Linked DNA regions of Callithrix jacchus. The protein of the gene in region 1 purifies or fractionates together with the protein of each later gene. This does not show direct contact. Links are inferred from orthologs where the notes say so. Each region holds a gene or a part of one and is shown in the gene's direction. Other genes may lie near its edges.

Region 1 (4,662 bases):
AGGCATGGTGGCTCATGCCTCTAATCCCAGCATTCGGAGGCCGAGGCAGGTAGATCACCTGAGGTCAGGAGTTTGAAACCAGCCTGGCTAACATGGTGAAACCTCGTCTCTACTAAAAAGACAAAAATTAGCTGGGTGTGGTGGCAGATGCCTGTAATTCTAGCTACTCAGAAGGCTGAGGCAGGAGAATCACTTGAAGCCAGGAGGTGGAGGTTACAGTGGGCTGAAATCACGCCATTGCCCTCCAGCCTTGGGCAACAAGAGCAAGACTCCATCTTAAAAAATAAATAAATAGTAAAAACACAAAAATTAGCCGGGCATGGTGGCACATGCCTGTAATCCCAGCTACTCAGGAGGCTGAGGCAGGAGAATTGCTTGAACTTGGGAGGTGGAGATTGTAGTAAGTCGAGATTGTACCACTGCACTCCAGTCTGGGCAAAAGAGTGAGACTGTCTCGAAAAAAAAAAAAGAAAGAAAGAAAAAGCAACTAAGAAATGTTAAGGGGAACATTTTGGAATCACAGAAATCATGCTGACTGAGATACAGGCTTGGCATAGGAAAGGTGGACTCCAATTTGTTAACTTCTGAAGCTGTCAATGGCAAAGATTTCTCTGAAGGCACCGGAAGAGATTTGAATTGGGCTTCCTTCATCCATTGAACAAGTATTAAGTATTTCTATGTATTAACAAGTATTTCTAAATGCTTACCATGCCAGGCCTTATTCTAAGCACTGGGGCTTCAATATTGAAAAAGACAAAGTTGGATCCTCCAAGGATTGTGGTGTCGGATAAATAACAAAAATGTGTAACTTAAAAAAGTGTAACATAAAGTTACAAGGCCTAGTCCCAGCTCGACTTGTTTCCCTAGCTGAAATGGGGATGACCAGGCGTGGTGACTGAGGCCTGTAATCCAAGCACTTTGGGGGGCCGAAGAGGGAGGATCGCTTGAGCCCAGGAGTTCGAGATTGAAGTTAGCTATGATCGCCCCACTGGACTCCAGCCTGAGCAAGAGAGCAAGACACTATCTCTAATTTAGAAAAAAATAAAAGTTGTGGCCGGTCGCAGTGGTTCACGCGCCCATGAACCCAAAGTAATCCCAGCACTTTGGGAGGCCTAAGCGGAAGGATCACCTGAGGTCAAGAGGTTGAGACCAGCCTAACCAATGTGGAGAAACCCTGTCTCTACTAAAAATACAAAACTAGGCCGGGCATAGTGGCTCACGCCTGTAATCCAAGCACTTTGGAGGCCAAGGCGGGAGGATCACCTGAGGTCGGGAGTTCAGGACCAGCCTGACCAATATGGTGAAACCCCGTCTTAAAAAAAAAAAAGAAAACTAGCCAGGCGTGGTGGCACACATGCCTGTAATCCCAGCTACTCGGGAGGCTGAGGCAGGAGAATCGCTTGAACCCGGGAGGCGGAAGTTGCGGTGAACCTAGATCGCGCCATTGTACTCCAACCTGGGCAACAAGGGCCAAACTCCGTCTCAAAAAGAAAAAAGAAAGTTGTCTAAATTTAAACATTTTTATAAAATGAAATGGGAGGGGACTGGTCTAGGGTTTCTAACAGCCCAACATCACCTGCGGCTGAGCCCACAAACACTTCCGCTGGCCTCCAGCTGCCACCGGATTACTCCCGCTCCTTCCCGATTTCAGACTTGGGAAGTGGTGCCGGGGGCGCGAGGAGGGAGGGTGAGGAGCGTGTATGACGCCACATCCGGCGCGCGGCGGAACTGGCTTCCCTTTGCTTCCGCGGCGGGGCCGGAAGTAGAGGCGGCGGCGGCGGCGGCCCAAAGCGGAGGGAAGTCGGGAGGCAGGAAGCGCCCCATAGCCGGAACCGGAGTCGCAGCGGCGGTAATAATGCGAGACCCCTCTAGGCCACCGTCCTTAGCGCGAACCGTGGGATTCGACGGGAGTTAGTGGGGGTCCGGCCAGGCCGTGGGACGCTGGGGGGGTCCCGGGGCCGATGTGAAGGGAGGCGGGGGTGGGGGTGGGGCCGGGCTGGCCCTAGAATCCAGTTGTCCGCTCCTCGCCCCTCACGGACACTCTAATCCGCGGGCTTGTCTTGGCCTTTCCCAGGAGACCCCTGTGCGGTGCGGAGGGGGCGGTGGCCCCGACTCTGACCCGCGCCGGGGGGTGGGCCATGGCGGAGATCAGCGACCTGGACCGGCAGATCGAGCAGCTGCGTCGCTGCGAGCTCATCAAGGAGAGCGAAGTCAAGGCCCTGTGCGCTAAGGCCAGGTGAGCCCGTTGGCCCCACGGAAGGGAGGCCAAGCCGCCGCCCACGGGTTCTGGCCTGGGGCAAACCCAACTGAGAATTTTGGGCTTGCCCCTTCCTGGAAGCTTTCCCAGAGAGGAACGGGATGGGGCCACTGCGCTCGAGGAAGAGCTAGCCTGCTGGGGGAAGACAGCTGGATAAAGACACTTAAAGTATTAGAAGATGTGTTTCCAGTGGAGTAAGAGTGTTACGTAAAGTACTTAGGAAACCAAGGGAAACAAGCCCATCTGTCTGGGGGACAGAAGCTTCTGGGGGTGGGTGGCGAACTGTGAGACAGGCCTCGAATAAGGAGTTGGTAAAAGAGTCAGCAACAAAACAAAGGTTTAAGACAGGAAGGTTAAAGACGCTGTGATTTATAAAAGTCTGAATTCCAACAACCACCCATAAAGGTTGGCGTATTGTACTCATTTTACAGGTGAGGACTGTCATGTTCAAAGTTACCCACAAGTAAGGAGTGGAGTCTGAAGCCAGTTCTTAGTGTCCTGTCCTTTTTCAGGCCATAATGCAAGAAGGTGGATTTGGATCACTCACATTCAGGATGGGACCCTGAGAAATCGTAGCAAGTAAGCCAGGATAGAATTAAGCATGATATGGCCGGGCGTGGTGGCTCACGCCTATAATCCCAGCACTTTGGGAGGCCGAGGCAGGTGGATCACGAGGTCAAGAGATTGAGACCATCCTGGTCAACAAGATGAAACCCCGTCTCTACTAAAAATACAAACATTGGCTGGGCATGGTGGTGTGCACGCCTGTAGTCCCAGCTACTCGGGAGGCTGAGGCAGGAGAATTGCTTGAACCCAGGAGGCGGAGGTTGCAGTGAGCCGAGATCGTGCCATTGCACTCCAGTCTGGGTAACAACAGTGAAACTCCATCTCAAAAAAAAAAAAAAAAGAATTAAGCATGATAGGAAGGCCAGTTTAAAGTTCTGTGGGAAGTAGGATGACCTAAGGCTCTAGGTTTTGGAGTGTGAGATGGCTCTAGGTTTGAATCTGAACTCTGCCACTTACTAGTTGTGTTAGTGATCTTAAGGTGTCTTTACTTGCAAAGCAGAGTTAATAGTACTTAATAAGATGGTTGTGAAAATTCAGTGAGTTGCTGCTTAAGTTTAGCACAGTGTCTTGGTACAGCATACATGCTTGATAGTCACTAGGTGTTCTATTTCTCTTGGATGAGGGCAACGATGAGATGGGCTAAAGCCATCAGGGAAGGCTACTAAATAGAGGTAGACCTTGAAGGATGAAGATAATTTGGCTAGCTGACAGGCAGGACCAGTGAGGGAAGGGCATTCCAAGCAGGACAAGTGTAGCATTGGAGGCCCTGAGAGTGTGAGGAACAGTCAGGGGTTTAATTAATTACCTGCCTTCTCTGGGGAACTGTGTGATTGTGACTTCTACCAGGCTGGTGAATTGCGGCAGAAGAGCCCGCAGAATTACCCTATGTTTATTGAACTATACACCCACTATTGGCCTGGCCCTGTACTGGCGAAAAAACGTCTATTCGTCTCTTCCTCCCAGCAATCCTGAGAGGTTGGAATCATTTGCTCCATTTTACCGAATAGGAAACCATGACTCGTAGAGGCCTGGTGACTTGACTGAGGTCACCCACTGAGGACATGGCAGAGCTCAGTTCTGAATCTGTGGCCCCCAGGCTTTTTGCTCGGCCCCACCTCACAGACTCCCTGCAGCCAGACAGGGCCTCTGAGGGGATCGTGAGCAGGGTGGGCCTCTTTTTCACCCTGTCTGTGGCTTTTCTCTTTTGCCAGCTGAAGGAAACGTCCCTGACCAGACCTGCCCCACCGTGTTTTTAATTGTCCCCTCTCCCTCAGTCCTGATGGGCATTTTTAGGAACTTAAACCTGTTGTTGTCTGGCACTATTCTTTTCCTCTGAAGTCTTATCTCCTGCGCAGGCCTTGGATCAGTGTGGTGGCGATGGTAGATAATGCTTGGATAGCATGCTGGAGTTTGCAGAATAGGAGGAAGTTATATATTCAGTCTCCATGGCTCCTTGTAACAGCCTAAGGAGTAGGCATGACGGGGCTGAGTACTTAACCCCATTTCGTGGAAGAAGAAACAGCCTCTGAGTAGATAATGTCTTGTCCAACATCGTGCAGCTAGTTGGAGGGGAAGTTAGTTGTGCATGCAGGTTTTTGACTGTGCTCTGTGGTCACTGAGAGCCAGGCGGAGGCATTTAGATTTTCATATGGGGTGTGAGGCAGCAGAGAGCTGTGGAAGGCTAACGGGTGGAGAGTCCTGCCCAGTTGAAACTGAGTGGAGCTAGGAGGTACTAGGCCAAGGCCTGAGTTGGTCACTGTTGTCCTGGGCTCAGTTCTGAAGTGGGGCCAGCTCTGATACCTGACCAAGGCCTCCTGAGGACCCACCAGAGACCCAGG
Region 2 (4,895 bases), on another chromosome or scaffold:
GTAGAGAGGGAGTTTCACCATCTTGGCTAGGCTGGTCTTGAACTCCTGACCTCGTGATCCACCTGCCTCGGCCTCCCAAAGTGCTGGGATTACAGCCGTGAGCCACCTTGCCAGGCCAAATGTGTAGTCTTTTATCCCTCATTCCCCTCCCATTCTTTCCCTCTGAGTCCGCAAAGTCCACTGTATCATTCTTATGCCTTTGCATCACAGGTTTGTTTTCTTTGTTGTCATTGTTGTTTTGAGACAGGGTCTTGCTCTGTTGCCCAGGCAGGACTGCAGTGGTGTGATCTAGGCTCACCGGAATCTCCACCTCCGAGGTTCAAGTGTTTCTCCTGTCTCAGCCTCCCACGTAGCTGGGATTACAGGCATGCACCACCATACCTGACTAATTTTGTTATTGTTGTTATTGAGACAGAGTGTCACTCTCGTTGCCCAAGCTGGAGTGCGATGGCACGACTTGGTTCACTCTGCCTCACGGGTTCAAGTTATTCTCCTGCCTCAGGCTGCTGAGTAGCTGGGATTACAGGCATGTGCCACCACACCAGGTTAATTTTGTATTTTTAGAGATGGGGTTTCTCCATGCTGGTCAGGCTGGTCTCGAACCCCTGACCTCAGGTGATCCGCCTGCCTCAGCCTCCCAAAGTGCTGGGACTACAGGTGTGAGGCACCACACCCGGCCTAATTTTTATATGTATGTATGCATTTATTTATTTATTGAGCCAGAGTCTCACTCTATTGCCCAGGCTGGAGTGCAATGGTGCGATCTTGGCCCAATGCAGCCTCTGCCTCCTGGGTTTAAGCAATTCTCTTGCCTCAGCCTCCCGAGTTTCTGGGACTACAGGTGGGTGCCACCATGCCTGGCTAATTTTTGTATTTTTAGTAAAGACGGGTTTCACTGCGTTAGCCAGGGTGGTCTCAATTTCCTGACCTCGTGATCTGCTGACCTTGGCCTCCCAAAGTGCTGGGATTGCAGGCATGAGCCACCGCGCCTGGCCAATTTTTTAATTTTTAATAAGAGGTGGGGTTTTCGCCATGTTGGCCAGGCTGGTCTCGAACTTCTGACCTCAGGTGATCCGCGTGCCTCAGCCTCTCAAAATGCTGGGATTACAGTCACCGTGCCTGCCTGGCTTACATTCTATCTTAATCCTGTTTATACACGTCTGTGATTCACCAGCCTTCGAACTCCTTGTGAATATGAACAGAGTCTTAACCATTAGAGCATTGGCTTGGGCAGGGTGGCAAGTAAGGGATGGATTTCCTGAGACACTCAACAATTTAAGTTGCTTTTCCACTGCGTTCCCAACTGCTCAAACCTACCTTGTTCTCCAATTCCAGTACACTTGCAGTAGGAACGGGGACCCTCTTCATAAAGTTGCACCAAACCAGAGATTTTCATCTCATTTCGCCCAGGTCCTAGCCCTGCCAGGCTTTCCCTTTGCTCCTCTGCAACTCCTGTCTAGGGAGGCGGGTGTCTTGGAAGGTCCTTGGGAGCTTCCGCCACCAATTTTGCATCTGCAATTAGGGCTACTTTACCCCAGTGAAGAAAGGTGCCCTCCGTATTAGGGCTTCCTTCCTCCACTTCGAACTGGGCAGGGTAGCAGAGTGAACAAAGTGTGAAAGCCACTTTAGAAGGAAAGAGCAGAGCTCCCAGCCCCGCAAAGAATGGCCGAGGACGACGCACAGCGGACGCTGAAGTGCAGCACTCCTAGCCAAGCTTGGGTTTTCCCTTAGCCCCGCCTCCTTCGCTAAGCTCGACCCACTTTAGGGCGGGACCACCCACTTCAGCCAATTCTGATAGCAGAACCCTGGCGGTTTGTACTATTTCTTTCCAATGAGAAAAAAAAGGAAGCAGCTTGGCTCCAATGACCAATCCGAGGAGGCGGCGCCTGGTTGTCAGGCAGTTTTGTAGGAGTTCGGGCCAATTGGAGGCGCAGGCACCGCTCGACCCGGGCGCAGCGCGCAGGCGGTGGCGAAGAGACGCCGAACGGGCCGAGTGCGGCCGAGGCAAGCCGGAGCCGGAGCGGGGCCGCAGGAGACGGGCCGGGTCCGGACGGGCCGAGATGCCCTATAAACTGAAAAAGGAGAAGGTGAGCGTGGCCCTTTTTCCCGCACCGCCGCCTTGGAGCCTGCGCGGAGCTCTGGGAGGGGCCAGAGCCAGGCCCGGGACAGCCCCAGACTGACCCTCCCGTCCGGCCCCCGCAGGACTCCTGGGGCCAGCCCTCCGCCCCCGCGGCTGGCAGCACCCCCAGCTTGTGCCGCGGCTAGGACAGCTCCCCATCCTTGCCCCGGAGAGACTCCCCCCACATACGCCTTCCTCCCTTCTTCCCTGCTCTTACCCCCGGCCCAGGGTAACCTCCTTCTTCCAGATTCGCCCCATTCTCAGGTCACTGTCCTGCTTTTTCTGTCCCCCCATCACCCCTGGCCCCGATCTCCCATCGGTTTAGGCAGCCCCTCATCTGAAACTGCACCTCCTTCCAGAATTGCCCCCTCCCCCCGCCCTGAACAGCCCCTTTCCTCCTCTTCCTACCCGCCTGGGACAGCCGCCCCACAGTCCCCTACGGCCCCTTCTCTTTCCATGCCAAGCCCCTGACCTAGAACAGCGCTGCTTTCTCTCTCCTCCACCCAAATCTGGCCTTGGCCCCTCCCTCTAGTTCTTCCTTCACACACAAACTTGTAAGCAGGACTGAGCCCTTATGTTGATGGAACCTCAGAACATCAGTGCTGGAAGGGACCTCTGAGCGCATGCAGTGCAATCCCTAATGGTACAGATGAGGAGACTGAGGTGCCGACAGGGCAAGGGACTTGTCCAAGGTCACACAGCCTGCTAGAGGCCCAGCTGCAATATCGGGTCTCCTGACTTAAAGGCCTCTTTTCTATCAAAGCCCTCCTAACTGGCTCCAGGTACATCCTAGACCAGTCACCTTTCCTAATCTGAGTAGGCTCTTCCCCTTATTCCTAATCCTAGGATAACCTTTGCATTCTTCCTTTTTATTTTTTTGCACCAGTGCTGGATTTCTGCCTTTCCTGAGCTGCACCATCTTCAAATTGGGAATTTGTCCTCCCCGTCAGATTATTATTCCTTCTTAGCCTGCAGGCCAGCTACCCCTGGACACCCATGTCTTTGGTCTTTGTCATGATGTCCTGACACAGGCCATTTCTTTTTCTTTCTTTTTTTTTTTTTTGAGACAGAGTTTTGCTCTTGTTGCCCAGGGTGGAGTGCAACGGCATGATCTCGGCTCACTGCAACCTCCGCCTCCCCAGTTCAAGCAATTCTCCTGCCTCAGCCTCCTGAGTAGCTAGGACTACAGGCGTGTGCCACCATGCCTGGCTAATTTTGTATTTTTAGTAGAGATGGAGTTTCTCCATGTTGGTCAGGCTGGTCTTGAACTCCCGACCTCAGGTGATCTGCCTGCCTCGGCCTCCCAAAGTGCTGGGATTACAGAGGGTAGCCCCCAGCCCTGGCCCACAGGCCATTTCTTAATGGTGCCTTCTTTCACCTTTCTCTTCTACCTCGGTGCCGCCTTCCCCTGTTCCTCATCTGTGCCTTTTTCTACCCTCTGTTTCCTGCTGTTGCTGAGGTCTGACTCAGAGGTGTGGTTCCTTTGAGGTACAGTCTCACAGAGGATGCTAGGATACCAGGTCCAGCCTCCCCCAGCTTCTCCTCTCCTGGGGCTGGCCCTTTATGGTGGGGGCTGGCTCTAGTCTCATGTTCTGGCCTCTTGCTTGATGACCCCAGAGGTATATTCATTTGCCCTCTGATTGACTGGGTTACTGGGCTGCCATCTATGACCTTTTCAAACTTTTTCTTCCAGGGCTGTTCTGTATTTGCCAGGCAGCTCTGATTCTGGGTTGTCCCCTTAACCTTTCAGGGCCTGAGGCACTGAGTACAGGGTTGGTGATGGTGTGCTAGATGGTGAACCTCCTAGGGGTAGTGAGCTGGATAGGGTTGTGTGTCCCACCCAGGCCCTGTCCTTGGGGAGTGGGCATGCAGAGATGGTTTGGGTAGCTTAATTGTAGACAATGCACACACAAATCAGCCACACCAGGGGCTAAGGGAAATGGAATCCAGGGAAAGCTGGTGAGGTCCCCACCCATTTGTAGTTTTTAGTCTGATGGACTATATACTGTCCCATCCACAGAAAACTTTAGCCTACTAGATTGTGAAGAAGAAAACAAATTCCCAGTTAGACTTGTTAGGACCAGGAGTGTAAGCGTTCGGTTGGGAAAGGGTGTTGGAAGGATCAGGGTGCATGGAGCCAGGCATCACTCTCACCTCCCTATAAGGTTTTTCTGCTCTTGATTTTCAGCTGCATTTGGACTTCTTCAGTGGTTGGCAAGCTCTGGGGGGTGGGGGGTTGACAGTGTGACTGAGGTTTGCCTGGATGGGGGTGGGTGGATGATCTTTATTCCTCATCTATCACCTGTCCCCTCTCTCCTGGCCATCTTTTACAGCTTTTTCCCTAAAGTCTTTCTGAGCTGTCAGTCAGGAGTGAGCTCTCCCTTCTCTTCTGGATTTGCAGAACACTTAGTAGGCCACTTATGGTCCTTTTGTGTTTGGCCTTGGATGGGAATTAATTGTGGACAAGCCTTTTCTTCCCTTGAGATAATAACTAAGCTTCGTTTTGGTTTAGCAACTCCTTTTCACACAGTAGGTGCTTAGCGGATAGGTGCTGAGCTAATCTCTTTGAGGAATTCGCATCTCCCCCTTCCTTCTTGTTTTCCTCTGGTACTTAGCTCTTTTATTTTCTTCAGTAGGGTGTCCCTGACTCCTCCGACTTTTTTCTTGTTCATAATAATAGTAATAGCATTGACCAGCATCAGGATTTTCATGTGCCTTAACACTGTGCTGAGGGAAGAGGGTACTGTGATTGTCATCGTCTAATAAATGAGGAAAC
Region 3 (4,736 bases), about 96 Mb from region 1:
AGCCTGTCTGGCTGAGAAGAGACCCGATGCCTCCATGGGACACCAGGAGGTGCCAGGCTGTGCCGTGGGCAGAAGCTCCCACTACCCCAGCAGGGAAACGGAGGCAGAAGGCAGGCATGGGGAAGTTATGGTAGCTTTAAAATGCCTAATCACTCTGGGAGGCTGAGACGGGCTGATCGCTTGAGGCCAGAGGTCTAGACAAGTCTGGTCAACATGGAAAAACCCCGTCTCTACTAAAAATACAAAAATTAGCTGAGTGTGGTGGCGCCCGCCTATAACCCCAGCCGCTCTGGAGGCTGAGACATGAGAAGCACGTGCACCCAGAAGATGGAGGTTGCAGTGAACCAAGGTGGCACCACTGCACTCCAGACTGGGCAACAGAGCGAGATTCTGTCTCAAAAAAAAACAAAGAAATACCTGACTTGGTGCCCTTCGTGCCATATTTATGCTTTAGCATCAGTTTGTTTTTTTAAAAACTGTCTCCATTGGATGAATTTGATGCTGATAATTTTAACTCTGTTGGTTTTGTGACTTTGTGTATTTAGTTTGGGTTCAGAGCTTGTCTGAGCCCTGCAGTGTTTCTCGTTTCAGGTTCACGCATGTTTGCTGAATGAAACTTCTCAGCCCTGACAGTTACGGAAGTTTCTCTTTTAAAAGACTCAGTCCATTTTAATTAAGTTTGAAAATCACTGACAGAACTAGAATACCATTAATCATGTAATTTTATACACCCTATGGGTATAAATTACATCGATTTAGACCTTTTTAATCCAATTCAGAATATTTCAGCTTCACGTAAGCAAGGTAGGTTATTTTCAGTAATTTAATAGTGATGCTTCTAAGAAGCAGCCTCATCCTCTCCCAAAGTCTGAAGATTTTTAAAAAGAAAGAAATCCCAGGCCAGGGATTCCCGTGTGAAGTCAGTGCCCCAGTTGTGCAGATGCTGGTGGAAAGCCTTTATAAACATGATTAAAACGCCTGTGCAGACCTTTGCGAGTTGCATTCTAGTATCTCCGCTTGTGGGGGACTTTCTCAAGTAGTTGCAGGTCCATTTCTGATTAGTAAGTGGGTTGTTTACAGTCGCCATTTAGTAGTTTTTTCTTCCTACTATAAAGATACTGTGGGCCCTGGGAGCGCGGAGAGTCACGGCGAGCCCATGAGTTGGTGCCCAGCAGGGGAGTGAACTTGTAGTGATCTCACTGTTCCTGAGACACCCCACACTGCAGGGTAAGGCGAGTCCCGCCATGGCTGTAGGATGAGCCCCGACCGACCCCTCCCCTCGGAGGCCTCGCCAGGCCTTGTGCTTGTCAGTCAGCACAGGACACAGGGGCACTTTAGAGAAGCCAGCTTCCTCCAGACTCTTCCTGAAAATATCAAATTTTTGTCCAAATCATAGACCTGGGTTTTTTCAATTTAATAGTCTGTCATAAATCCAGATACTCCCCTCCCAGCCCAAAGGGTTAGCCCAGGGTGCCTGAGCACTTTTGCACAGCTGAGTTTTGTTGTTCCGTCTGCCCCATGGTCTGGGTCTTTGTTGCGGTGTCAGAGATCTCAGGGGCCCCGACAGTGTCTCACTTGGTGATGTTGTCATCAATGGTGGTGACTGTCTCCAGACGATGATGACATGGAGCTTCTACTGTCCATGATACTGTAATGTACAGAAGCCAACACAAGTTACTGCATAGAACATTAAAACCTTTGTATTCCTATTGTAAACGCATCGGATTTATTTTAGAAGGTGACATTAGGTATGCATTATAAAATCAGTCAGCGTTCTTCAGGACCATGTTTTTCCTCTTTCTTGTAGCAGTGAATTTTCTAAATTTCTACCCTTTGTCCCTTCATCAAGACAGTCCAGTCTAGATAAATCCTGGTGCGGCAGGGGCCAGGCATGGAGGTGGAGTCAGACTCACACATTCATATGTGCTGGCAGGTTCTCAGCGCCAGGACCAAGAAGTGGCCACTTGGTAATTACAAGTTTGCCATGACAATTTTGCTTGATTCTGGGAGAACGTCGTGTATGTCTTATCTTTGTTTTGAGCCTTTGATTGCTGTTTTGGTGTTGTGATCCCCCTCAGACCTCCTCTGGTAAATCGCTTCTTATTCTGTTGACAGCGGACATCATTTCCACCGTTGAATTTAATTACTCTGGAGATCTTCTTGCAACAGGAGACAAGGGCGGCAGAGTTGTTATTTTTCAGCGTGAACAAGAGGTCAGTAATTTTCAGTCCGCAAACCAAATGTGACCATTCAGCCTTTCTCACGTAACTTAGAAGTGAGGAAGCAAAATTATTTTCTCATTGTCTCATTTCATTAAGCTTCAGTTCCATTGCATCAGCCATACAGAATCTCCTTTCAGGAATTATCTAAGTTCTGGCCTCAGCTGCTGAGCCCCGAGGAAGTCGCCAAGGCCTTTGTCTTTAGAGTAGGGAGGAGACTCCAGAGGGGACCACATGCAGGCTGCAGGATGGTGGTGATGTGTATTTATGTGTTTTCATTCCACGATAACTCAGGGAGCTCTCAGAAAATCCCTTCCTATGCCTGTGCAGCTGCTGGCCCGGTCCCGCTGCCCTGCCCTGCAGTGAGGTAGAAGAGTGTTCTGTGGGACACTGGCTGCGAGCAACTCTCAGCACTTCCTGCAGAGAAGTGTGGGGCTGTGTAAATTCTCTCTTCCCTTCAGGGAGAGGTGAGCAGCACTCACTCTTGCATGCCCCCTTGAAGGCTGCCTGTCCAGAGGGAAGGGAACCTTCCGAGTGGGCCTTGGAGGAGCCCACAGCTCCTGAGCACTGGCTTGTAGGTCGTAGCACTTCCTTCCCACTGATGCCTTGCCAGCCCCTCCCTCTTACTGGTGAGCCTCAGAGGCCCTAGTGAGCGAGGATCGATGATCAAGGAAGCGAGATCATTATTTGTTAGGGAAGGATTCCAGCAGGAACCTCAGGAACCTCGGTGCAGCCAGGCCTGGGGTCTGAAATACTTGTCCTGACTTTTCCTTAACAGAGTGTAAATACGGTCCCTTGCCCTTTCTGTCTCTGAGTTCCCTGACAGATGAAAGGGACAGTTTCTCGCCTCCAAAGTCTAGTCTCTGCATTTGTGTGCTGAGCTGTGGTTTAGAGGCTGGTGGGCCCTTGCTCCCCTCTTTGCAGAGCTTCTGTACACTGGAAGCACTGGCCCCGACCCCAGGACGGGGAGCCTGGAGGACTGGCCAGAACTGGAGGCGCTGGCTGCCACATGGGGAGCATGGACGGTGCTAACCGATTTCAGTTCAAAACAGAACTCTTGCAGCTTTAATTTTGATTATGTCCATGTCATTAAAGATTTCTTTTAATTCTGTTTTCTCTAATTTGAGATGGTAAGAAATCCTTTTGTGAATAATAACTATACTATCATTAATCTTGCTAAATCTTCACAGTTTGATATATTTATAATTTTGCATTCTTATCTCAGAAGTAGAATATCGCACAGTGCTACTTAAGAACCATACACCTTGGCCGGGCATGGTGGCTCATGCCTATAATCCCAGCACTTTGAATCCGCTAAAGCGGGTGGATCACCTGAGGTCAGGAGTTCGAGACCAGCCTGACCAACATGGAGAAACCCCATCTCTACTAAAAATACAAAATTAGCGAGGTGTGGTGGCGCATGCCTGTAATCCCAGCTACTTAAGAGGCTGAGGCAGGAGAATTGCTTGAACCCGGGAGGCAGAGGTTGGGGTGAGCTGAGATCACCCCACTGCACTCCAGCCCAGGCAACAAGAGCAAGACTCAGTCTCAAAAAAAAAAAAAAAGAACCAAATACTTTACCTTTTTCAAGGGAAGTAAAAAATGGGTGGTGGTGTGTACATATTACTCTTTGCAGGAGGGTTTTTTTAACAGATTGCTGAGTTGTGGCTGTCTTAATGTGAGACTTAACTTTTAGTGTCTTTAAAAAGTCTGCCTTCGTAGCCATAGCCTTATGGGAGATGCCTCATCCTTGCCTGACGGATCTTAACAGAGAAAATGGAATTTCTCTTGTTTTTGTGAACAATTACTTAACCTAAATGATTCTCAAATACAAAACAGACCCTGATAAAAGTCAGGCACCTTGTTCTAAAATACATTGGGTAGTCTAGAGATTTGAGTGTTGATTTAGGATGTATTAAGATGTATTGTTATGTGAGTGGCGGATTTTTACAGGAGCAAGTTCCTGCTGAAGCTGTTGAATAGACCTAGCAGCTGTAGCTTGATAAAGCCCAGGCAGGATTTTTTCTTTTTCTTCGTGTTTTGGTTGCCCCGTGAGAGGCTTTCATATTCCATCTACTTTTAGACCGTTTTGTCGGTTGCCACGTGTGACTCTCACTGTGGACCTGCGTGCTTCTTGTGTGGGTGAGGGTGTCAGTGCGCATTTTCGTCCATGGTCAGGGAGGCCACTGATGGAGGTGCAGGCGCTAGGAGGAGGAAGCTGCTGCCCTAAGCGACCCCGCTCCCAGTTAGAAGCTGCGGCAAGGTTCAGAGGTGTCAGCGTGGGCATCTTCAAGTGGATGGGGCGTGGAGGATTCTGAGGGATAGTGAGTGCCCCACCAGACTGTGGAAGGTGCAGGCCTTAGGTAAGGAATCGGGTCCATGGGGCCCTGGTGGGAGGTCCTGGCTGTGCCAAAAGCGAGGCAGGAAGCACCTTAGCACCTTGAGTTTCAAGTTTTTCTTGTTTTTCTGTGCACATTACGTCTTACAGGGAAGCCCGGCTGGTAAAACTAAGGCACA

Evidence for each region. Proteins that work in one complex are often made in the same cells at the same time.
Region 2: the proteins of PPP4C (region 1) and PPP2R5D purify together in Homo sapiens (affinity purification with mass spectrometry; 7 studies listed by BioGRID and IntAct, with this or other methods). This does not show direct contact. The link is inferred for Callithrix jacchus from reciprocal best matches to the Homo sapiens genes PPP4C and PPP2R5D.
Region 3: the proteins of PPP4C (region 1) and PPP2R2D purify together in Homo sapiens (affinity purification with mass spectrometry; 3 studies listed by BioGRID and IntAct, counting the BioPlex papers as one, with this or other methods). This does not show direct contact. The link is inferred for Callithrix jacchus from reciprocal best matches to the Homo sapiens genes PPP4C and PPP2R2D.

Annotation. Positions count from the first base shown.
Region 1 is NC_133513.1:29,443,067-29,447,728, reverse strand, and holds the start of PPP4C (serine/threonine-protein phosphatase 4 catalytic subunit), read left to right. Parts: upstream 1-1,764; 5' UTR 1,765-1,849; intron 1,850-2,074; 5' UTR 2,075-2,138; coding exon 2,139-2,236; intron 2,237-4,662. UniProt on the Homo sapiens protein: Protein phosphatase that is involved in many processes such as microtubule organization at centrosomes, maturation of spliceosomal snRNPs, apoptosis, DNA repair, tumor necrosis factor (TNF)-alpha signaling, activation of c-Jun N-terminal kinase MAPK8, regulation of histone acetylation, DNA damage checkpoint signaling, NF-kappa-B activation and cell migration.
Region 2 is NC_133505.1:51,473,760-51,478,654, forward strand, and holds the start of PPP2R5D (serine/threonine-protein phosphatase 2A 56 kDa regulatory subunit delta isoform), read left to right. Parts: upstream 1-1,971; 5' UTR 1,972-2,060; coding exon 2,061-2,087; intron 2,088-4,895. UniProt on the Homo sapiens protein: The B regulatory subunit might modulate substrate selectivity and catalytic activity, and might also direct the localization of the catalytic enzyme to a particular subcellular compartment.
Region 3 is NC_133513.1:125,238,758-125,243,493, forward strand, and holds the start of PPP2R2D (serine/threonine-protein phosphatase 2A 55 kDa regulatory subunit B delta isoform), read left to right. Parts: upstream 1-1,812; 5' UTR 1,813-1,891; coding exon 1,892-1,967; intron 1,968-2,115; coding exon 2,116-2,213; intron 2,214-4,736. UniProt on the Homo sapiens protein: Substrate-recognition subunit of protein phosphatase 2A (PP2A) that plays a key role in cell cycle by controlling mitosis entry and exit. Involved in chromosome clustering during late mitosis by mediating dephosphorylation of MKI67.